Linked DNA regions of Arabidopsis thaliana. The protein of the gene in region 1 purifies or fractionates together with the protein of each later gene. This does not show direct contact. Each region holds a gene or a part of one and is shown in the gene's direction. Other genes may lie near its edges.

The links.
Region 2: the proteins of SUN2 (region 1) and WIP2 purify together in Arabidopsis thaliana (affinity purification with western blotting, with the first as the bait; 2 studies listed by BioGRID). This does not show direct contact.
Region 3: the proteins of SUN2 (region 1) and WIP3 purify together in Arabidopsis thaliana (affinity purification with western blotting, with the first as the bait; one study listed by BioGRID). This does not show direct contact.

The regions. Positions count from the first base shown.
Region 1 is NC_003074.8:3,355,652-3,363,716, reverse strand, and holds SUN2 (SAD1/UNC-84 domain protein 2), read left to right. Parts: upstream 1-3,014; 5' UTR 3,015-3,194; coding exon 3,195-4,274; intron 4,275-4,873; coding exon 4,874-5,161; 3' UTR 5,162-5,429; downstream 5,430-8,065. Other genes in the region: ASD1 (alpha-L-arabinofuranosidase 1), read left to right, coding at 1-38, 142-295, 418-487, 629-774, 853-898, 989-1,041, 1,119-1,263, 1,346-1,464 and 6 more; AT3G10720 (Plant invertase/pectin methylesterase inhibitor superfamily), read left to right, coding at 6,136-6,936, 7,700-8,057. UniProt on the Arabidopsis thaliana protein: Component of SUN-protein-containing multivariate complexes also called LINC complexes which link the nucleoskeleton and cytoskeleton by providing versatile outer nuclear membrane attachment sites for cytoskeletal filaments.
Region 2 is NC_003076.8:22,747,741-22,755,540, reverse strand, and holds WIP2 (WPP domain interacting protein 2), read left to right. Parts: upstream 1-2,723; 5' UTR 2,724-3,177; coding exon 3,178-4,048; intron 4,049-4,222; coding exon 4,223-4,881; 3' UTR 4,882-5,079; downstream 5,080-7,800. Other genes in the region: AT5G56220 (P-loop containing nucleoside triphosphate hydrolases superfamily protein), read right to left, coding at 1-670; AT5G56200 (C2H2 type zinc finger transcription factor family), read right to left, coding at 6,292-7,773.
Region 3 is NC_003070.9:2,608,471-2,617,446, reverse strand, and holds WIP3 (WIP domain protein 3), read left to right. Parts: upstream 1-4,069; 5' UTR 4,070-4,266; coding exon 4,267-4,854; intron 4,855-6,341; coding exon 6,342-6,767; 3' UTR 6,768-7,451; downstream 7,452-8,976. Other genes in the region: NVL (no vein-like protein), read right to left, coding at 635-748, 899-1,412, 1,592-1,929, 2,021-2,444, 2,543-2,673; AT1G08280 (Glycosyltransferase family 29 (sialyltransferase) family protein), read right to left, coding at 7,843-8,976. UniProt on the Arabidopsis thaliana protein: Probable transcriptional regulator.

The DNA.
Region 1 (8,065 bases):
TCGAATGGATCACGGACTCTTGCTTCTGAAAAGATCATGTGAGAAATAATTTCAGATTCTTCAGTTAAGTCTGAATATGTTTATTTTGCTGTTTCAGTGTGTGAAAGTTTCAATTGTATGCTTTCATTTGTTTCAATGTAGAGCTTCTGCTTCTGATGTTTCGAAATGGATTAAAAAAGAGGTTCTTTTGGAGGCAAAAGCGACCGATCCTAGTGCAAGACTTCAGTTAACAACAACCAAGAAAGGGTCAATATGGATTGACCAAGTCTCGGCCATGCCAGTGGATACTCACAAGGTTCTTTTTTCGCTCTCTCTGATTCCCTGTAGAGCCTTGAGATGGAAGATTACAGATTGCTAATAGAGAAAATATTGGAAGAAGAACTCTATCAAATACTCGATCTTTTTGGTTGATTGCAGGGACATGGTTTTAGAAACGATCTTTTCCAAATGATGGCCGATATAAAACCCCGTTTCATCCGGTTCCCAGGTACGTATTATTTAAGGCTAGTAGCATTTTTGTTACTTATTCTATCCATAGACGTACCTCTTAGTTCAATATGACAAAAAGCATGACTTAAGATGAAATAAGCTAAAGTCTATTCTTTACTCTGGATATTTGTGAATTTAGGTGGTTGTTTTGTCGAGGGTGAATGGTTAAGTAATGCCTTCCGCTGGAAAGAAACCGTAGGACCTTGGGAAGAGAGACCGGGCCATTTTGGTGATGTTTGGAAGTATTGGACCGATGATGGCCTTGGCCACTTTGAGTTCTTTCAAGTGAGACTTCTTCTTTTCTATTGAGTACATAATGATCCCCGAAGCTCGTTATTGAATATTAAATGAACATTCTTGCAGATGGCAGAAGACATCGGTGCAGCCCCGATATGGGTGTTTAACAACGGTATTCTTTCACTCTCCAAAAACTTAGTTGTAACTGACTTATATCATTTTGTCTTCCAATTCTGTCAACCTTATTTTTTACTTTGTGCAGGGATAAGTCACAATGATGAAGTTGAAACTGCCAGTATCATGCCCTTTGTTCAAGTATGATTACTAAACCTTCCTCTGTTTCACTAGTGAAGAAGCCGGAAAACCAAAACTTTCTCCTCTTTTTGTTTCAGGAAGCACTCGACGGTATCGAGTTTGCCCGAGGAGATGCCAATTCTACTTGGGGATCTGTTCGAGCTAAAATGGGACGCCAAGAACCTTTTGAACTTAAATACGTTGCTATTGGAAATGAAGATTGTGGGAAAACTTACTACAGAGGTTTTGCATTTCTCTATGATCACATCTTGACTTAGATTTTTGTTGAGCATCTTTGACACTAAATGAGATTACAACTTTACAGGAAACTACATTGTGTTCTATGATGCTATCAAGAAAGCCTATCCAGATATCAAAATCATCTCCAACTGCGATGGATCCTCTCATCCACTCGACCACCCAGCTGATTACTATGACTATCACGTAAAATTTTCTATCTTGACAGAAACTGTAACCGTTGTCTTGTGTTCTCTCTTCCGCCTGAAAAAAGTGTTTCCTTTTTGTCACAGATTTACACTTCTGCTAGCAATTTGTTTTCCATGTATCATCAATTTGATCGCACTTCACGCAAAGGTCCAAAGGTGCGGTAATAGATTATAACAAAACTTAATTCCAACAAACACAAGATGAAGCTTTCAGCGTTTTACTCACTCGTGAACTTTGTTTACAGGCTTTTGTCAGTGAATATGCTGTTACTGGAAAAGATGCTGGTACAGGAAGCCTTCTTGCCTCTCTTGCAGAAGCTGCGTTTCTCATTGGTCTTGAAAAGAATAGGTTCCCTTTGAATTTCTCTTCCCAGGCTTTGATCTCAACTAAAAACATCAAATAAGTTAAACATCTTATGACTTTTTGCAGTGACATTGTTGAAATGGCAAGTTATGCTCCACTCTTTGTGAACACAAATGATAGACGGTATCTCTCACTTACTTTTCCGTTCGAATGGTTACTCAGGAAGATAAGGCAATAATCTCAAATTGTTAAATTGGTTTCAGGTGGAACCCTGATGCAATAGTCTTCAACTCCTCTCATCTATATGGAACACCTAGCTATTGGGTTCAACGGTTTTTTGCAGAGTCAAGCGGAGCAACTCTTCTCACTTCAACACTCAAGGGAAACTCTACTTCTCTTGTTGCATCTGCTATCTCTTGGAAAAACAATGGCAAAGATTACATACGCATAAAGGTAAACCGAGTGAAAGATTCAACCGGAGCTCTGATATTGACCCTAAAAAACTGTTTCAAAATCTGTTATTTGCAGGCTGTAAACTTCGGAGCTAACTCAGAAAATATGCAAGTGTTGGTAACTGGATTGGACCCGAACGTGATGAGAGTTTCGGGATCAAAGAAGACAGTACTTACCTCTACCAATGTGATGGATGAAAATTCCTTCTCACAGCCAGAGAAGGTAAAAATCAAGAGATGGAAGAAACATCATTATCATCACAAATTCTGAGTGTTCCCATGTTCTTATTGGTTTTTATTTGCAGGTTGTACCACATGAAAGCTTGCTAGAGTTGGCAGAGGAGGATATGACCGTTGTTCTCCCGCCACATTCCTTTTCTTCATTCGATTTGTTGAAGGAATCTGCAAAGATAAGAATGCCAATCTCTGATTCTTCTTCCCATCAGAAAACTACCACTGTGTGAAGAGAAACAATGACAAGGAAGTATCAACTTTCATGTCAAAAGTCTCTTTGTGGTTCAAATCTAATTACATTCCATAAATGCTTATAACGTACCCTTGTGTATATATAATAATAGTCTGGTGAATAAATTTACTTTCTTTAATCATGAGCTTATCTCGACTCTAGATATCTTGATATGCAAGAATGATGAAGCAACAGTTTCTTCTTAGCATAAAAGAAGATGACGAGGCGTGAAAGTGGGCTGGGCCATTTTATTTCCATTATTGGGCTTTTAAAAGCCCATCATAATGAATTTTGAAAAAAATGGAGGAGCATCAAAACAAATAAAAATGGCGAAACTGAAGAACACACGATTCAGATTTTCAAAATTGAATTTTGTAGTGATCTCTCTCCTATATAAACTTCCTCACTCTTCTTCCATTTCAAATCTCTCTCTCTGTAGTCAAAATTAGGGTTTATTTATTCATAAGGAAGAGCATTTCGAATTCTGTAGTTCAAAATTGAAGATCATGTCGGCGTCAACGGTGTCAATCACCGCTAGTCCTAGGACAATAAGGCGGACGCCGGTTCTCTCCGGTGAGAAGAAATCTAATTTTGATTTCCCGCCGAGCGAATCTCATGCCAATGCGGCAATTGGAGAGTCGTCTGCTGGTACGAACAAGGATCTGATTCGCGCCGAGGCTGCCGGTGAGAGATCCAACACCTACGACGTAGGTCCGGTGACAAGGAAATCAGGATCCACCGCGACGGGGACTAATACAACCACCACGCAGCGTCGGACGCGGAAGTCTCAGGGGAATAAGATAGATAGAGGGAAATGGAAGACAGTGGTTAGGGTATTCGCGAAGCAATTTGGGGCTCTTTTGTTACTTGTTGGATTGATTCAGTTGATTAGGAAATTGACTTTGAAGGATTCGTCTCTGTCTTCTTCGAATTTCCCAATTGAAACGGAAATGGTGCTTTCGGAATTGGAGAGTCGGATTTCTGCAGTTGATGGTTTGGTGAAGACTACGACGAAGATGATGCAGGTTCAAGTTGAGTTTCTTGATAAGAAGATGGATAGTGAATCAAGAGCATTGAGGCAGACGATAGATTCCACATCTTCTGTGTTACATAGTGAGTTGAAGAAGGTAGAGTCTAAGACAGAGAGGTTACAGGTTTCTGTAGATGAGTTAAATGCTAAACCTTTGGTGTCTAGAGAGGAGTTAGAGAGAGTTTACGAGGAGTTGAAGAAGGGTAAGGTCGGTGATTCTGATGTTAACATTGATAAACTGAGGGCTTATGCTCGTGACATAGTGGAGAAAGAGATAGGGAAACATGTTGCAGATGGCCTTGGTCGAGTAGATTATGCGTTAGCGTCTGGTGGAGCTTTTGTAATGGGGCATTCGGATCCGTTTCTTGTTGGAAATGGGCGTAATTGGTTTGGGACAAGCAGGAGACGGGTTCATAGCAAAGCGGTTAAGATGTTAACTCCGAGTTTCGGGGAGCCTGGACAGTGTTTTCCTCTGAAAGGAAGCAATGGATATGTTCTAGTCAGGCTAAGAGCACCAATAATTCCAGAAGCTGTTACTTTGGAACATGTCTCTAAGGTAGTACTAACATCTCAATACTAAACTTTCACAAAATGATTGATTTTTATATGTTAATTTGAGCCTTCAAGAAGGGTTCTCTGTTAAATGTTGTTGGTATTGAGATGCCCTGTACTTCGGATTGGATTGCTGGTGACAATAGGTTATCGAATAGAGGGCAAGAAACTAGTTTTGTGAATTTGAGTTCTTATAGTTTGAGGTTTAGTTTAGGCACTAGCTGTGACAATATGCATTGAGGAGGATTTTACCTATTGTTATTTTCTGCAAATCACTAGCTTTAGCAGTTCCTTTGTCTAATATCAATGCCACTGTGTTGTTGTGCTTTGTTTGGGACATCGTTGACAGAGAAAAGAACCGTATGTATGGGAAGAGCTTGTAAGTTTACAATTAGTGGAACTGTAATATTCACTGTTTACGGATATCCTTAGGAAACAGTAGCTGAAGGGAAATAGTCTCAAGAGTGTGTAATGTGATGGTCACACATTGCTTTCCATCATTGTTCATCCTTGTGATCATTTGTCTGATAAATTTCTTCTTGTCTGACCACTAAAAGGCAATACTAATCTTACGGTTATGTTATGCACCATTTAATCGAACAGGCTGTAGCATATGACAGATCGAGCGCCCCAAAGGATTGCCGTGTATCAGGATGGCTAGGTGACATAGATATGGAGACTGAGACAATGCCCCTTCTTACAGAATTCAGTTACGACTTAGACAGGTCCAATGCACAGACATTCGACATTGCAGACTCTGCTCACTCAGGACTTGTCAACACTGTCAGGCTAGACTTCAATTCCAACCATGGAAGCTCTTCACACACTTGCATCTACCGCTTCAGGGTTCATGGCCGTGAACTAGACTCAGTCTCTGTTGCTCATGCTTGATCTGAAAGTCCACGTCAAACTTTTCTTCTCTTTGTAACATTCCCTCTAATAGATATCTCTCTTCTTTTTTTGTGTTAGTTTATGTGGTGGGAAAGCTTCTCTTAGTCTGTAATCAGAATCATTTGGTTGTATTCGTGATTATTAGCTTCAAATCTGTTTTGGTTCGGTTTATTTGGTCAGGGTATGTATCCTCCGAATTGAATAATATAGATCTTAGTTTGATGTCCGGTTTTGGTTTTGTAACAGAGTTTCAATTTAAGCTTTCACCTAAAACAAATCATACAAATTCTAATAGAGTATACATATTTCATTAGTTGAAACAAATATTGAATTTGGATTATTAATGGTTACCTTGGGTACTTGGTATTACAACGATATGTGATGAATAGGAAGAGTGTGTATATAGATGGACCATAACTTGTTAGTGTGAATTGCGTAATCGACAAAGTGACGACTTCTTCTTCTAGGCTGCACCGTCTTGCCTTGTCTAAAAGCTTCCCAACACATCACATGCAAAATCTACGGTCAAATAATAGATATGAAACCCTCTTCCAAGTCAACACAGCTTGTTTGATTATAAATTAAATTAAATACAAATTCATCTTTGACATGTCTGATTAATGTTAATTTTTTACAGTGTCAACTGGCATAACAAATTGAGCTAAACAAAATTAAGCTCTAAAAATAGCCATTTTTTACGGTTAAATCACATGAAGAAACCTTTCCTAACCAAGTCAACCCATGTTTGGTCGTCGTGACGGTGGACCACCGGCTCCAAAAAAACTCTTCATTTGACCAAAACGAGTATAACCCTTAATTATTAGACCAACATGCATTACATAAATGATAAATTCAGTTTCCCTCGAGCCCATGCATTCATTAAATAGCAGAAAGCTCCTCGTATAGTCTATATATATAGCAGATTTTAGATCCAAAATAACAAACACCATCAATACACAAACAAAACAAAAAGGATGAAAATGCAAACACTAAACTTCACTTCTTCTCTCTTGTTCTTGTCTTTTATCTTCCTCTCATGTGCTCTGCTTATCTCATCACAACAATCTCCATCACAGCCACATTCTGAGCCTCCGTCACAGCTACCTTTTGAGCCTCCGGTAGAGTCACCATTCTTCCCTCCGTCACAGCCACCAATATTCGTGCCACCGTCACAGCCACCTTCTTTGCCTCCGTCACAGTCTCAGTCACCTTCTCTCGCTTGCAAGTCAACTCCATACCCTAAGCTTTGCCGTACGATCCTCAACGCTGTCAAATCCTCACCGTCAGATCCTTACCGTTACGGCAAATTCACTATAAAGCAATGCCTCAAGCAAGCAAGCCGTCTATCCAAAGTCATCACCAGTTACGCGCGGCGCGTGGAAAGCAAACCAGGCTCGGCCACGGCCGAGGAAATAGGGGCGGTGGCGGACTGCGGCGAGTTATCGGAGCTGAGTGTGAACTACCTTGAAACCGTCACGACGGAGCTTAAGACGGCGCAGGTGATGACGGCAGCTCTCGTCGAGCATGTGAACAGTCTTCTCAGTGGTGTAGTGACGAATCAGCAGACGTGTCTTGACGGACTCGTGGAGGCTAAGAGTGGTTTCGCCGCCGCGATTGGTTCGCCGATGGGGAATCTCACTCGCCTTTACAGTATCTCGTTAGGACTTGTGAGCCACGCACTTAACCGTAACCTGAAGAGGTTTAAAGCCTCCAAAGGGAAGATTCTTGGTGGTGGGAACTCAACCTATCGCGAACCGCTCGAGACTTTGATTAAGGTAATTAATTAAAACTTGTTTCTAATTCTTTTCTTTTTTCGTTTTTGTTTGTTTGTTTATACTAGCTTTTATACATTCCTTTACATATTATTATAAAGTTGTTAATAATCTAGTTGTAAAGACATTACATATTTTTGAAATGGTTGGCATAGAGATATAAGAATAGGAATTTGGGGAAATACCAAAAACATTATATATATATATATATATATATGCCTTCTTATCATAAATCCTTAGAAAAAATCAAAACAGAGTTTTTAAATCGATGATTTATAATAATTTTTGTATGGTCACCACTCACCACAATTCAAACATGAATAATGAAAGGTTATGCAAAAGCCTTTTTGGACATACATGTATGAATAGATAAGCATCGTAGGAGGACATATACTAAGTTAAATATGGTATGAATTTACTACTTTGGACGCACGGAATGATTTAATATTCGTGCATATCTAAAATTTTCTAGATCGAGTCATAAATGGATGTGCTCTTGTTTTGTGTGTGTGAGCCAGAACACGCGTAAGAGAGTAAATGGCACATGGCCTACGCACATTTTAGTACAACTCAACAATGATCAAATGAGTCCTATCTTTGACTTTAACAAAAGAAATCAATTTGGTCCCCATTCGGATCCAACTGTATTCACGTGCATAAGAGTGTCCCGGTCATTTCATGTGTGGCTACAATGAACATTGATTTTAAAAAGGCATGAGTCTACAAGCTAATCATGTACTAAGCACATTTTCTTTTTCTGGTATAGGGTTTACGTAAAACATGCGACAACGACAAAGATTGCCGGAAAACTAGCCGGAACTTAGGGGAGCTAGGTGAGACCAGCGGCGGTTCCATCCTCGTGAGTAAAGCAGTGATCGTCGGTCCGTTCAAATCCGACAACTTCACAACCATCACCGATGCTATTGCAGCCGCACCTAATAACACTAGACCAGAGGATGGTTACTTTGTTATCTACGCAAGAGAAGGTGTCTATGAAGAATATATTGTTGTTCCCATCAACAAAAAGAACTTAATGCTTATGGGAGATGGGATCAATAAGACGATTATTACAGGGAACCATAATGTTGTTGATGGTTGGACTACGTATAATTGCTCGAGCTTCGGTTGGTAT
Region 2 (7,800 bases), on another chromosome or scaffold:
TAACAGAACAGATAACTCTGTCGGCGATCTCATGACTCTGTGTGTCCGAATACTTAGCTCTGTCAGCAACGAAACAAGCGATTCCCTGAAGCTCAAGCTCTGACTTTAACCATTTGCAGAATCTCACCAAGTTTGGGTTTTGTCCATGAAACCCTATGAAGACATCAGAGCTCCTGAGCTTGGTGTTAGTTGCAGGTGAAGAAACAGAGACTTTAGCCAAAGAAACCCTAGGAACAGGGAAAGAGAAAGAGATCCTTGGAGGAGCAGGATCTGGAGTACAAGATGCTGATAACTTGAGCTTCCGATCTGATGGTTGTTCATCAGAAAACTCGTACTGGTCAGAAGGAGGAGTGTAGGAGCTGCTTGGTACATCATCAGATTGTGAGCCTTTGTAAGAAAGAGGCGGTGATGGCTTGTGAGTGGTAATGGAGGGTGTTGTAGCTCTTGGGGATATATAAGGAGATTGCAAAGCGGAAACAAAAGCAGAAGATGGTGGGGACACAAGAGAAGGTGAATAGAAAGGAGAGTTTTTGATACTTGGAGATGAATCTGAAGCATTATTATTTGCTTGAAGAAGATCTTCTTTACCTTTCTTACTTGAAGAGCTTGCTGGTGATGAAGTTCTTATGGTTAAACCAACTAAACTTGCTTCTTCTTCTATTCCCTTCATTACTCCTTTTACTTCTTTCACCAAACACAAATTAAACTCAAATGAAAGCTCTCACCTCTCAGCTTCAAAAGGTTATGTCTTTATCTCTCTAACTTGGTAATGAATCTCATAATGGTGTTTCTCTGACAGATGATATTGAAGTGAGTGGGACTGAGAGGAGATGAGTCAGAACATGAATGCAACAGTTGATGCAGTTCAATGAGATTGAGGTAAAATCTGAGAAACTGCATGTGATGTATCTAACTCTTCCATTTTGTGGGGTCCCTCTTCTACAACACTGTTGAAACCCAATTTGTGTTTTCTTCTTTTCTTTATTTAATTTCTCCTCCTCCTCTTACTTCAGATTTGACCAACAACACCAAGCCAGTTTCAGAGAGTCTCTGCAACAATGGAGAGGTCACGGGTCAGAAGAAAAATCATTGCTTTACATTGAGTTTGTGGTCTAATGTTCATCATCATTAACAAGATTGAATCTTTTTACTCTCTAGCTAGGACCAACAATGAAAAAGCAACATATTAGTCAAATCTTTAAAGATGATTTCTTAAAGACTTACCCTTTTGTTTGATCTTTTTCAGACACAAGGCAAAAAAAGACGTGTCACTTCCCCTGCATATCTTTTCATTACCAAGCCTGTCTCTCTCGTCTATCTTTCTCTCTGTGTTTCTTTTTGAGGAAGAGCAGAAGATTGTGATAATGAAGAGGGAGAAGAATCTGGAGTTGTGAGTTGGATCTGAAAGTGCTTATGGACATTAATTTGTTTTTAAAATAGTGATTAAAGAAATGGTTAAGAGAGAAGCAGCCTGGAGATGGTTAATGTCTAAACATGTACCAATGTCATTTTATAATGATCACCCACTTAATCAAAAACCATTTTATAATTAACTTAAATTTATAATCTTGGATTCTCCTTTATGTCATTTGTTTTTAGCTCTCCTCTCTCTCTTCTCTCAACCTCCTCTGCATTTTCTGGAAATTTTTAATGAGTTTTTTTTTCTTCTTTAGTTTACCAAGAAGACTCCAGTTTTTATTTAAGATCGAGTTATTAGAGAAGTATAAATATAACATGGGTTACATTGGATTTAAGAGAGTTAAATAGACAAGAGTCAGATTTAAGACATTGAACTTTGAGCTTAAAAGAGGTTGTAGGATTGAAGAAAGGGAACCATTTTCAATTTTCTTAGTACTTTGGTTGTTTGTCATTTACTGTTTGTATTTTGTGGTCTATAGAAAACTCCAAACATTGTACTATATTGAGTATTGAATCATATAATACTATCATTGCTGCAATTAATAGGAGAAAAATGTCAAGAGAATATTTTACGTAAAACATATTTTGGGTTCTAAGTAAGTGAAATTCCTTCCACTATGTGATTATGAACTAAATTTCTAACAATAGTACTAACATAACATAAGTAGTAACCTAGTAGTATTTGACAATTTTTCTTATCAATAACATTTTAGTATATTGTAATTTGTAAGATAAACTCCTCATAATCGAGTAATTATCTTTTTTTTTTAATTCAAGGTGGTGCATGTATGTATGTGTACACTGACACAACATTTGAAATCTGATTTCACAGTGGGAATTGGTCCAAGACCAGTCCACTTGTGACTTTTTATTTATTTACCCCACACATTTTCACATTTATCTACAATCATAAGGGACTTTAAAAACATACACATTACACACACACACACACAAAAACAAAAAATTTACCATCAAAATCTTGGAGTGTGTGACGTATGAACAAAACAAGATTGATACTGTATGTAGAAAAGTCTCGTTATCAAACGATGTGGAAGCGTTTATCAAACGCTCAAGGATAAGTCTCGTTGTTTCCATACCTAAAAACGGCAACCACTGTATATAGAAAAGATGTAAACGTCAAAACTGAAGAAGTTAGAAAGACGAGGGTAAATTAGTAAAATAGTCGAGATCATATTAAAGTCCTAACGGTATATCACACACCGTTGAATTCCAGATCCGACCAGATAAGATCACGTCGAATCGAACGGTCATAAAATATCCGAGTAGTTGCTGAAGTATCCAGCGGTTTCGCCACGTGTCCCGACCATGTCGCTCACACGTTCGTATTTCTCTATTACAAAAAAAAGGAAACGAATCAAAATGTTTTTTGATCGTAACCGGGAAAAAAAAAACGATTTTTCGCAACGAAACTTTCCACAATCAACGGATATAGAGAGAGATCTCTGCGAATCGTTTAAATCGTCTTCTAATTTCGTTTCGGTCTCTTCGTAAAGGATTCACCTTTGAGTGGTTTTGCGTTCCATTTTATTAGGTACGTCAAGCTCGAAACTTTCGATTCATTGGCTTTCGTAAATGTGATTAATCTGGGAATTGAGTTGAATTTAGAGAACCCTATTGCTTCATTTTTGTTTTCGTATTTTGGTTTTATTGAATTTGCCTCTGGTTCTTACTGGAATGGTGGTTGTTTAGTCTTGAGATTGATCCCATGTGAAAAGTTAGTATTTTTGTGGCGTCGTCATGGATTTGGAGAGTGAAAGCTCTGTTCTTGAATCTGTTGAAGATAATAATGGTTTGATTGGTGATCTTGATAAAGAGTTGAATTCACCGGTTGAGACTTCTCCTCTTATATCAAAAGGATTTGGTTTAAGAAAATGGAAGAGGAGGTTAAGGAGAGATCTTGTTAAGGATGATACTTCTGTGAGTATGGAGAATAGTAAAGCTCTGAAGAGGGTGTTGTCAGGATTAGTTGATCCGAATGCTAAACAAATGCATTTGCCAGGACCTGAAGTTAGACAAGATAGTGTTGGTTCTGTTGGCTCGGTGAATAGTGTGGTTGGTTTTGTAATGGGTGGGGAGAGTTATGGCAATGGTCTTGCTTTTGCAGCTGGTGTTGATTCGGATAACAGTGAGGATCGGAGTAGTACAATGAGTCATTCTTGGGACAAACATAGAGGAAAGGTCTCGGGTGGGAAGAGTGTGATTAGTTCGGGGGATAGTAGTCAACAAAGGAAGAGTAGTGTAGAGAAGAGTAATAAACTTAGAGGAGAAAGGATCAAAATTGAGAAGGAAAACTCTCATTCCAGCATGGAATCTGCTGACTCAAGAAGCTCCAACTTTGTGTTTATGCAGGGTGCTTCCTATAGTTTGAGTAGCAGAGAACAAGGCGGAAGAAGAATGATGGATTATGACGATGAAAATAGTGATCATGACGCACATACTTCGAAGAGAAAGGATAACGTGGAAGAAGAAGAAGAAGAAACAGAAGACTATTCACAAGGAGACTGTGTTGAAGAGTCTCAAATCAAGAGCAATGGTTCATCAGACAATCTGGATCCATTAATAGTAGCCGTCAACAGTTTCCAGACTTTGCAAGAAGCCCTCCAAAAAGGTATCAATTTCATAAATACAGATTTTCATTTGGAATTTGATTGTTGCTGCATTGTAGTAGTCCTAATCAACTAAAACTTGAATGACTCTAACACTGGTTCCTTATGATGCCGTGTAATATTAACATGATTGTGTTTCGAGTTTGACTAAACTCCTGTTCTTTTTCCCTTTTCAGAACTTCAAAAATTCCAAGAGCTTGGGAAAGAAGAACCTATAACATCACTGCATGATGGAGGAGAAAGCAGCAGTTGCATACACGCAGGACACGAAGGAGCTAGTGAAGCAAGCTCTTCTTACCGGTTTGGGTCTGAAAAGATGGGAGAAATGGAATTAACTTCTCTAGATTCCGAGATACTAAACCTGGTGAACAATGTAGAGCATCTGGAGATCAAACTAGAAGAAGCAAAGCGTATTCTCGAGGTTAAAGAAACACAAATCCGTGAACTCGAATCTACCATAAACGTTTCAGAGACGTGTAACGGAGGAACAGAGATCGGGATAGAAGACATCTTCCAGCAAAAGGTGGAGGCAGAGATTGAATATATCATATTCTCAAGATCAGTGGGAAACCTAAAGAGACGGATCAAACTGATTGAAGAAGAGAAGACATTGGGGCTATCAAAGCTTGATAAAGCAGAAACAAAAGCTGAGAATCTAAAGAATCAAGCTCAAGATTTACAAAACCATTGTGTAGAGATCACAGAGATTCAAGAAGTGGAGTGCCTGAAGAAGAGAGCATTTAAGACCACTAGATGTCTTCTTCTACAGTTAGGCTTGCTCTTTATACTGTATTATTCTCTGTTACCAGAACCGGAGATTGCTGTTCCCACATGATAGTTTTGTTTGATGGAATCTGTTTTTATCTATATTTATACAAGTTTTGTATTTATATATATTGTAACATTTTGGCTCCAATAGACCCAACTCTTCTTTGCTTTCTACTTTGTGTTTCTGCGTGCTGCATTGTCATGACGTCAGTGTGTATGTATAAAATTGTTGCCTCTTTGTCAACTTTGCCATCATTTTCCATAATTTCTTTAGTAAATAAGAAATAATGAAATACAGAAGATAAGATATATAAACACACAAGTGAAAAAAGTTTAGATATTCACATGTACAATGAAAATTTGCACATAACCTTTAAATAATTTGAGTCGGTCTTAATATATATTCATTGTAAGCTCTTTAGAGTTTATAAATAAGAAGAATTCAATATAGTTGTGTGAATATATTGTGTGGTGTGTTGTTTGTGATGACACATAGAAGTGGTCTTATGTCATTAGCTGCAAGTGGAGACTTTTGACAATTTGACTATAAACAGCCATCTTAATGTTGGTTTGTTCCAACAACACTTAACAATGCCCACGTCTTGAAGAGTTTTAGATTTGCAAACCAATAATCAATTTGATCAAATATACTTAAAAAAAAGAAGAAGTTATTATTCATCTTAGACTCACTCATAGGTGTCTTAATGTGATGATCTTTGGATTTATATCCAAATCATTTTACAAATTTGGACCTACCATAGTTTGGTCTCTTTTCTTAGTGTAATGAAGAGAGATTTGATTCTTTCTTTCAAATTTGGTGTGTTTCAAAACTCAAATTTGGGGTATGTAACATATGCTAAGAAATTGTAAAAAAATACCACACTAACAACAACTTGAACTATAATAGATCATATCATTTCTTAGTGGAAGTTAAATTTGTATATGGTCTTGCTTGGAGATCCACTATTCTACAAACATAGACTAAGAAAATGTCAATTTTGTTTGTCCTAGAGTTCGGTATTCCAATTAATTGGAGCAACTTCTAATATTTATCATCATAAATTTATGGAGAAACCATTTGTTTGAAAAAAGAAAAGAAAGATAAGATGGTGAAATGAATAAGATGGTTTACTTTATGGAACTTTGGTCAATTAAACTATCATGCTTTATGTGAATCCAAAAGCATAATAAAAGAAAGATAGAAACATATCAAAGCTTGAGAGAAGAAAACAAAAGAGTATATATATCTTCTCATCAAATCAAATTAACAAAAGACCCCACCAAATTAAGATTAAAAGCCAAACACTAAAAGTACCATAAGAACCCAAAATCAAAATATCTTTCTCTCTTTCTTCTTCATACTACAATGTCAACAACTCCTTTTTACCATCATTACCTCCTAATTTAATAAGTCTTATTTTTTTGTCTTTTTTTTTTTTAAAGTTAAAAAGATTACTTGCTTGCATATATACGTCTCTTAGACTCTTTCTTCTTCTTCGTTAGGTGGCAACTCATTCAAGTCAAACTCCAAAACTCTTCTCTTCAATTTCTTCACCTCTTGTACTGTCTCTGTTACTTGACTAGAAGACGCAGTTGCTGGAACGGTTGGAGCAGCGGTTGGAACCGTGGTTGGAGCCACAGTAGAAACTGGTGCAGTCCAATGACATCTCTTGTGACCACCAAGAGCTTGACCTGTTGAGAAGCTTTTGTGACATATATTACAAACATGATCTCCATTATGACTACTGCTTAAAGATGTGTTTGTTCCTTGAGCACTAGCTAAACCGGTTATTATTGCTTCAGTTCCAAGTAATGAAGCTTCAGCGTTTGCCCTAGCTTGATGATTCTCCAATATCTTGACCTTGTTGTGACTTGCTCTATGACCTCCTAAAGCTTGATAAGAACTAAACGACTTGTTGCAAGTCACACACACGTGCTTCTCACGTGCACCGGCACCACCACCTTCCTCAGCTGCAACAACAACAACCTGATCAAGCTGATGATCATGATGAGTAGATGTTGATGACTCTTTCTCCATCTCAGACAATCTCTTCTGCTTCTTCTTCCTCTTCTTGACCATTTCCAGATATTTCTCTTCAACGGAACGCGAAGCAGAAGTCTCAGCAACATTAAGATTAGCAGCTGCTTCTGCAGTAGTAGCTAAGAACAATAGACCATTAGCATCATCAATATCCTTCACATCTTCTAAAGGTGGATCCTTCAAATCTGCTTCATCAAACTTCAAATCACCTCTCCTTCCTCTCTTCCCTTTTGTTGACCATCCTTTAATCGATTCAACAACGTTTTCCAATTCCAAATTACTGTCCCATAACTCCGAGTTCTCATCATCATCATCATCATCATCATCATCAAAATCATCATCATCATCATAATCTGAGCTTATAAACTCATCATCATGATCAAGTGTAGAAGACGATGAATTACCAAGTGGATGAGGAAGAAGAGGAGGAGGAGGCAAAACACCTTTCCAACCTCTGTCTGGATGAAACCTCATGTGTCCATATAAAGCCTTCATTGATGTAAACTTCTTGTAACAAACACAACAAGCCACTTCTAAGTCACCTCTTTCAGATCTACCAACCATACCAGACACCATCTTTGGTCTCATCATTGAGAATTTACGAGTTTCGAGCACATGAATCCGTTTATGACCTCCTAAAGCTTTACCTGACACAAACCTTTTACCACATTCACAACATATATGTTTTTTCTCTTCTCCTTCTTCTTCTTCCACATCTCCTTGCTCTAGATCCATACTCTTAGCTTCATGATCATTTTCCTCTTCCTCGAGACCGATGTTTTTAGCTTCATCATCTTCTTCTACTTGGTCTTCTTCTATCTCAGGTTTGATCCTTGGGATTTTAACCTTAATAGATCCGAATCTCGGTTTCCCAAGTGAGAATCCACAGTTGGTTTTGTAACCTCGTAATTGGTCCATCGACTTTGAAGCTAGAATCCACACAAA
Region 3 (8,976 bases), on another chromosome or scaffold:
GTTTCAGTTTCAGACATTCCTTTACAGATGTTTCAAATTCAAAGGACAGAATCTGCAACCTGGGATATTGGAAGGTTTCCATCAATTAATTTTAGACGAAAACATGTACACGAATTCGGGACTGGAGGCGACAAGGGGCGCAACTTTTATCCTTTTTCAGCCTGCCTCAGTGACATATTGATGTGCACATGCAGAATCAAAGAGCAAAGCTGAATTAGGGAAGCTTTTTACATTTTCTGAACTCAATACCAAGACTTGACAACTGGGTGCTAAGTCTCAGATTAAGAGCAATGAGGCTTGAACCACACAGAAAAAAAATAAACACAAGAAGCAACAGAAAAAAAAGAGCAATAGCTTAAAACCAAGAAGTTGAAAAAGTATGGGTGGAAATCGTCTAGCTTCTGAATCCAGCAAATTTCTCAAAATTTGAAAAGGAGGTATCACAAAAAACAGTCTGGCCTGGGTTACACAGTGAAAATATCTACTATCTTTTCAACTTGGAAAAAAATAACAAAGGAGAGAAAAACGATAAAAAGGCAAGTAAACTGGAACAGTGGAGTAGAAAATGATTTTGGGTGTAAATCGGAATAGCAAAGGTGAAATCCCGTATAAGAAAATATGACCACTAACTCACAGCGACATGTAGTAATCCAACAAATGGAAATGAGGACACAGCTGTAGCTATTTTAATCTGACCGTGTACTTCGGATCCCCCCAAGTTGTAAAAAGACAACAATTTCTTGACAAACTACAAAAATAAAAGAGTATTAGAGGATTAAAACATACAGCCTCACCACTCATCGCCTATGATAATTCACCGTCAGATTAAAGCAAAGAGATATATCTGATATATGATTAAAACAGTCATCCAATCTCGATATACCCAACATGGACTTACCACTGAGATGCTTAGCTCTTTACATGTTTCCTTCCAAGTTGAGATGAACAATTTCAAAGCTCCTTCAGAAAGAGTGAAATCAGCGTCATTGACACTGAAAATCTGCGCATCAGAATCATCTGCCGATTTAGGTATCTTTTGTTTCACATGTCCTCTACGCAACTTAGAGGGGCCTCTTCTAAGCAGCTTGGGAGAATCAGATTTTTCATGATTACGACTTTCAGCCTTCCTTTTCTTACTGGAGCTCCCAAGCTGCTTAACCTCTTCTTCAGCAGATGAATACGGACAACTACTGAAATGGTCAGATCTTTTAACATTTTCAACCTCATAATCAGCACTATCATTTTCCTCCGAGCTCGGTGAATTAAATCTTGTATGCTTGCCACAATAATCCTTATCTTGCCGTTGTTTCTTTGATGAGAGGATGCGATACTTCTGATGCAGTTCAGTCAATACGATCTTCAATATTTCGCCTTCTTGTCTCTTCGCATCTTGAATGAAAGATACATACATCCTATAAAATGCATTAAACAAATAAAATCAGCTAATGCGAACATATACAACCAACTAATACAATAATCTAGTGATTCCTTAAAAACCAGATTCATTCACTTGTAACCAAACTTCAATTCAACATCCAAAAAAATCAAAAGATCTTAACAACGCACAGAAAAACTATCAAACTGATCATACCGCAAGTTCTGAATACGGACACCAAGCTTTTCCTTGCTTGTAACTGCTTTAGCCTCAGCAACAAAATCCAGGAATTCATCGAGCTTAACATCGTCAATATCGTAAGTGTTTAGATAGCTATCAAGTAATGATATTATCTCCTCACTAGTGATCTTAACTGGGGCAGTAGAACAATAGACGGATGGAAAATAGAGCAAGACAAGTGGATGCTGCAGCAAAGGTCCCAATCCCAGATCATCAAAACAACCAACAAACTCGTTTTGGCATATTGCCACTTCCAAATCATGCAATGTCACGATTCCTCTAGCGCCAATGAAGCAGTGAATAAATGCAATGATCTACAAGATTCAAAGGTTTTAAGTAAAAGGAATCAACTTTGCAATAGATAGGCTCTGTTTCATTTGCAATATAGAAAATTTTAAGCTTTACCTTGCCTTCAAGGGCCATGAGTTGGCGAAGCGAAGGAACATCTTGCATCCATATCCCCAAGGAACGCCAAGTGTCAGCCTGAAGTTGTGCTAAAACCGATTGCGAAACTCTAGTCGAAGATACGTTGTCTCCAGCAGCAATTAATGATTTACGCGTATTGTTTACGGCCTTATCAATTCGAATAAGTTCTACATTAGCGCCGCCGCCAAATTGTGGATGAGGGAAATTGAGATTCTGCTGCGTCTGGAAATTGTATCTGATGGGTTGTTGTTGTTTGACAATGTAATTGTGAAATACAGGAGTCGTTTGAGGAAGATACCCTCCGTTTCCATTGCCGCTTCCACCGTACGCGGAGGCGCGTAGTGACCACGAGCCGTCGCGATTCCCTTGCATTGGTCGGCGCAAAAACGAGGAAAATAAAAAGCTATCGGAGAAGTAAAGAGGGAAGGGTTTTAACTTTTAATAGAAGGGCTGGTGTCTCTCTAGCTCATTCGGAGGGTTAGGGTTTAAGGTGAAACGTACCGTTTTTGATTTAGCATCTGTAAATATATAATTTTCATAATATTGTAATTGATAGATGAAAATATAATTTGGATGTCTAAAAGTAATTTTTTGAATATACAGTCATTGTATCGGTCAACAAAAGGAAACATTTTTTTTCTTTAATTATACCAAAATGAAGTTTAATTACAAAAAGAAAAATTTAATTTGAATTGTAGTACTATTGTATTGGTGAGTTGTTCAAACCCGGTTTCACAAAATATGACCAGATATGTATATACCGTGTTTGAACCGCATGGGACGTAAACCATAATTCTTTAGTGAATGAAAGCATAGTAGCATACGGTTCAACGGTTAGCTATACTACCATTCGGAAATTTTGCGCGGTTAATATTGTTTTAGGGTCCACCACAACATGACACATACATTGAATCAGCTTCTATTTTCGTCTTAAAATGAATACTCACTCTTCTTAGGTTTTTCTTTCAAGTATTTTATTCTTCAGGTATTGACTTACTTGCGGTAACCTTTTTGTTTTCTAAGAAAAATCTTGTGCTTAATGGGTCAAAACTCCACTACCTCTTTGTATTCAAAATCTTACAACGTCCTAAAACCTCGTCTATAACACAAAAATTAACGTAAATTCATTACAGTTTTTGGGTCAACGTACTCCTTCGTGTAGGTCATCTCATCTGCTTGTTGTGCTCCATTCCAGTCTTTCTAACGCTACCGTGAGGATGGGAATGTCTAATGCGACTGCTTTTTGGATTAATGTTAAGCTTTATTACTTCTGAATGAATATAGCTTCGACAGATTTAAAACGGGAATGAAATACAACCAAAGTAGTTTCACACTTTTTGGATTCAGTTTTCTATAGTACCATTTGCAAACATATACGTGTGTGGGCTGCCATATCAACTATAGACCCGTGAACCCAATCATGCATCAAAGAATATCAGTGAACTCATTTCCAAAGCTAATAAATATTTTCATATATCTTTAAATAAAGTGCAAATCATGGATTAGAGTACTAGCTAGAAAAGTCTTGCGTATGAAAAACAGTGTATGTATCATCAATATCGTGTAATCTGCTACTTGGATCATCCAACGTCAATAAAAGTGAACGCGTGATTTTATAACAATTTACCTTTTTTTATCATTTGTCCCTAAAAAGACGGCTAAAATGATGTTGGAATTGTTGTTTTGATATGTAATGATGAATTTTGTCTTCGCCGGTCTATATGCACTTAAATGACAATCATGACTATAATATGATGAAAGGATATCGTATTTGTTGGTTTAAGATGTTACAAAATTTTAATAATGGGAAAGGAAATGAGGGTAAAGAAGAAAAAAAAAAAGACTATGATTCTTAGGATTCTCTTTCATTGAAAAGCCTTGCGCTTGTGCGTTTCCTTTTCACTATGTGAAGTAAGACCCACCACATTTTTGTGAAGAAAATTTCACTCTTTTCCTCTTGATGTAAACGCGTAGACAGACACGTGCGACATTTCTGCACTATACGTTTTGGGGGGTAGGAGGAAAAGAAAACAAAACTTTAAAGAAGAAGATTTTGTATTGGAGAAAAATAAAGAGAGAACCTATTTTGACGAACGGCTACGATACACACCAGGTAGGTTGATATTAATATATAAACTTTTCATACTACTAGTCTTACCCTTCTTCGTGTGGAGGTAGAGAGAGAGAGAGAGAGGGAGAGTGAAAGAGAGGAGAGAAAGCGAGAGATGAATTCTTATGAGACGAAAGGCTTAAGTTTCGAATCCCCAAGCTTTATTGAATGGCTTAAACCTCAATCTTCTACTACTTCTTCTAAATCTGTGTTATATCGTGGGAAGACAAGAGATGCTATATCAAGATCAAATCACCACCAGAGTCAGATGAACATGTTGGAACGATCTCTATTCTTGTACCAACCACAAGAACCACTCAACACGTCTATTCAATGCTTGCCTCTTCTAAACAAGCTCATGGAAAATAATAGTCAAGCCTCGGATATCAAAGAAGAGAATAAGGATGATGTGGTTACCCTCCAAATCGGATTTCCTAAATACCACCGTGGTAGCTCGGAGGATGGCTCTGATATAACTTTCGATCATCAGAAGAAACCCATCAAGAGAGAGATAATAGAAGATGGTGTGGTGATGATGAAGAAGAGGAGGAAGATGAAGTTTGATGAGGAGATAATTGATTCTGATGTGGAAGTATGTGGGAAGAGGTTTTGGATACCAAGTCCGGCTCAGATTCATGTCGGTCCAATGCAATTTGCTTGCTCTATTTGCAGCAAAACATTCAATAGGTACAATAACATGCAGGTACGTCTTCTCTCTAAATATCATCTTTTTCCTATATGATTTGTTAGATAATCTACATATCAGCTACAAATCTTGCATTATGTGTTAACCATTCTTACTATATGTCAATGTATTATTTACCAAGAAAAAGAAACATTAGCACTATATCAACTTTACCTTTGCCATTATCATAGGGTATTAATTCATTTATGGTTATTTACTTATTTTCCCATATAAGCTAGCAAAAAACAAAAAACGGTCGATAAATTCATTTTGTTTTTGAAGAATAACATTTTCCCCTCAAAGGGAAACTTATCATATCGCAGCAAACAAAACTTTATATATATCTTAATTATTCAACAACACATTAATAACAAAATAATTAACAACATATTTTAAACAAAAAGAAGTATATTATTATTATGTATTCCGTAATGTATTGTACTTTGTGTATAAATGTTTAAAAACAGTTAAATAATTGTTTATATAATTGTATGATCATACATTACCATGTAAATTAATTCCTTCTATTGATCATACACTTCTTTTTGTGAGAATTTTGCTGCATATGTATATGATGATCTTACATTCTACAAAATATATTATCGTATATATACATACATGCATAATGTTGGAAGGAAATTAGTTTTTGTCATTTAAAGATGTTGAACATTGATGACTTAGTTATTACGATAATTAATTGCGGTTGGTGTATCATTCGCAATAGATAAATTAAGAGAAGGATGAATGGGTATATAACTTCTGGATTAGTTGAGAAATCTTCGAAAAACTTTTTGACTTTTTTTCATTGTTTGCCTTGCCTTTTGGTTGAAAAGCCAAAAAGCAAAAGAATAATCACGGAGTGGGATTTGGTAAAGTATAATTCAGCAAAAACCCAAAAAGGGGGAGAAAATTTAAAAAGCAATGATCATACTACTTTTACTGAATATATGCAATCGATTACTTAACCTAATGAAGATCTTAGTAATTAAAAAGCCTTCTAATTAAGTATCATTGGTTTCTAAGTTTATATATTTTACATAGGATTCTCTCCTTTACCATTTACTATAAATTTTCTTTCGTCCCAACTTTAGTTCGAAATTAAAATCATTATCCCAATACCACTTGTTAATTAAGTAGAAAACACATTTTTCTTACATCATATATGGTTTCTTATTGAAATTGTGATTACCATATACGTGGTCAAGAGTTTCGTCAAGTCCTTTTATATCCATTCCATTCCCTATTCCTACAGTGATAAATATATGCACAATTTTATACATTTGTGTATTATTGATAAGTCTCCTAAATGCAAATGCACTCCTGAGTCTTGACTAGAACAAGCATTCGAGTACTATTTAGAAACATAATGGGACAAGAAATTTCTGTCCTACAGATCATATATAATTGTCTATTAGGTACCATACAATATCAATATGTTAAATTGATAATATTCAAAATAAAATAGAGTTCTTATGGTCTAATGAATTTATATATGCAAAACACAGATGCATATGTGGGGACATGGATCTGAGTTCAGAAAAGGGGCTGACTCGTTGAAAGGCACAATCCAACCGGCAGCCATCCTGCGGCTGCCATGCTATTGCTGTGCCGAGGGATGCAAGAACAACATCAACCATCCGCGGTCCAAGCCCCTGAAAGATTTCCGTACACTTCAGACACATTACAAACGTAAGCATGGCTCCAAGCCCTTTTCTTGCGGAAAATGTGGCAAAGCCTTGGCTGTGAAAGGCGACTGGAGGACCCATGAGAAAAACTGCGGAAAGCTTTGGTATTGTACATGTGGATCAGATTTCAAGCATAAGAGGTCTCTCAAGGACCACATTAGGTCCTTTGGCAGTGGACATTCTCCTCACCCGTCTCTTTTGTTTGACGGTTTTGAGGAGGATACAGAATGCGTCACCACAGAGTGAGAATGTTGTTAGATACACCGGGGAGACTGTGGAAGGTAAGATCCTAATTTTCTAATGTTGCTTCAAACTGTGCGCCACAAAACATCTCAAGTCTACCAAAGAATTTCTATCTTGAAAAGGTAGAAATTCTTTGTTAGACTCGAAATCAAAATATATAAAGTTACCACATAAAATGAAGCAACATTTTAAAATTTAGATCTTTTTCCTTTGGATACGGTTACGATTAAGTCTACATGAAACCCGGTGTCATCTGTCTGTTTTTATTTTATTTTGCTTTAGTTTGAGACATAGATTTGAGTATTTGTGTGTTACGTAATATGCATGTGATATTAGGGTTCTTGGTTTGGTAGGGGATTTTTGCTACTAAATAAGTAACCTTAAGAAAAAAAGGAGGTTTAATTATGCTCACTAACAAAAACTTCTCTTTGTCCGAGGGATGTATTTGTCGGAGAGCATTTTGTGGCTCGAGTAAACCCCTATTTATCTTAGTGATTAGTAGTAAGTATGATTTCAATCTTAATTAGGGTTTTCTTCTTAATAAAGATGGTTTCTCTCTTTAAAATTTTGTGAAGCACGTGAATTTTCTGTTTCTCTCATGTATTTGTATTAGAAGAGAAAATTGGTGTGCTTCACTTCATTATTGTACGATAATCCTCAATTAAAGACTCTTCCTATTATATTGTCTCTCTTTTCATTACATATAATAGCTTTCGATCTTCTTGTTGTTACAAGGATTCACGCTTTTGTGTTTTGCATGAATAAACGTACTACTCAAACGTATTAAACTTGCGTGTGGGATTAACTTTTTCGATCGACACGTCAATCTGAATGATTTTGGTTTATATTGATGTGAGAATATCGTCCAAATATACCATATATATATTTCAATATGTGTGACAACACAAATCTAAAAATTGTAAAGAGTACTCTTACCATTGGGAAAGTGTTGCATCTTCACTGCCCAATCTGAAGCAAAATCTTTGGGACTTGGACAAAACGACACTCTTGCCAACAAGCTTCTTCGCTTGAACAACAATAACTACATGACAAAACTCTTGATGGTATATATGTATATTCAATGGTAAACTTGTACCAAAGGGATCTTGAATTCTTTTGGTAAGAATGGAATGGCCCTGGGACTGTTTTCCAGGTCTCGATACAATCTATACTCTGCTTCATAGTCATGAAGCTTCAGCTCTGCTTTCTGATTAGTATGGTAATGGTGCTTGGTTGAATTCAACTTCCCAAACCCGAAGACACTAACTTTCTCACAAATCCCCACTGCAAGCATCACAGCCTGCATACCCGACGAATAGTGAAACAACGAGCCTTCATGATCTTTACTCCAATCGACAAACCCTTTCGCTTTCTTCTCTTCCAAGAACTTCTTCACCGAGTAATACTTCACGATTCTAGCACACATGACATCGAACCTCGGATCCGTGATAAGCAGAGGAGCTCGATGAGATGGTTTACACAAAGTGTAATCCAAAACATGAATCGGTTGGCAAATGTACATCACAATAGGCACTGTTTCACCATAAGGATGACAATAGCAACTCTCCCTTCTCCCACATTGATGCAAAATGTTACTATTTATGAAAGATATATTTGTTTTCGATCCAACCTTCTTCTCAAACCTCTCTGTTTTCGCATTGTTCAACCGAATCACAATCTCATGCTTATCAATGAGATCTCCGTATTGACTATTTAGCAATGTACCACTATTCCCAACCACTGCACAAGATAAGTATCTTTCACTCGAAATCGAAACAACACCATTGTGAACATCAATCGGATTCTTAACTAATCTGATCAAATCTAACATGATATTAGGTTCATAAGCTCTTCTACGAGCCCAAAGCCGTAAATTTCTTTTGAACTCTGACCAGTAACGATAAGCCTGAGAAGAACGAAGCGTTACCGGAAACTTGGAGGAGGAAGCAATGTCTCTACTCACACGGCGTTGTTGCTCGCTTGGTCTTATTGACATGGAGCTGAAATGTCGACGGTGGCTTCTCCGAGTGTGGTCGTAATCGGAAATCAAATCGACTTCCTGTTTGAAGTTAGGTTCTCCGGGATCAATGGCGGCGAACTCGAGCAATGTCTCGTTGAATACAATATCTTCAGTCATGAGACCGGAGGAACCAAGCTCAGCGATGGCGGAAGCGAAGGAGAAGCTGCTCCGACGAATCGCCACTCTGCAGAT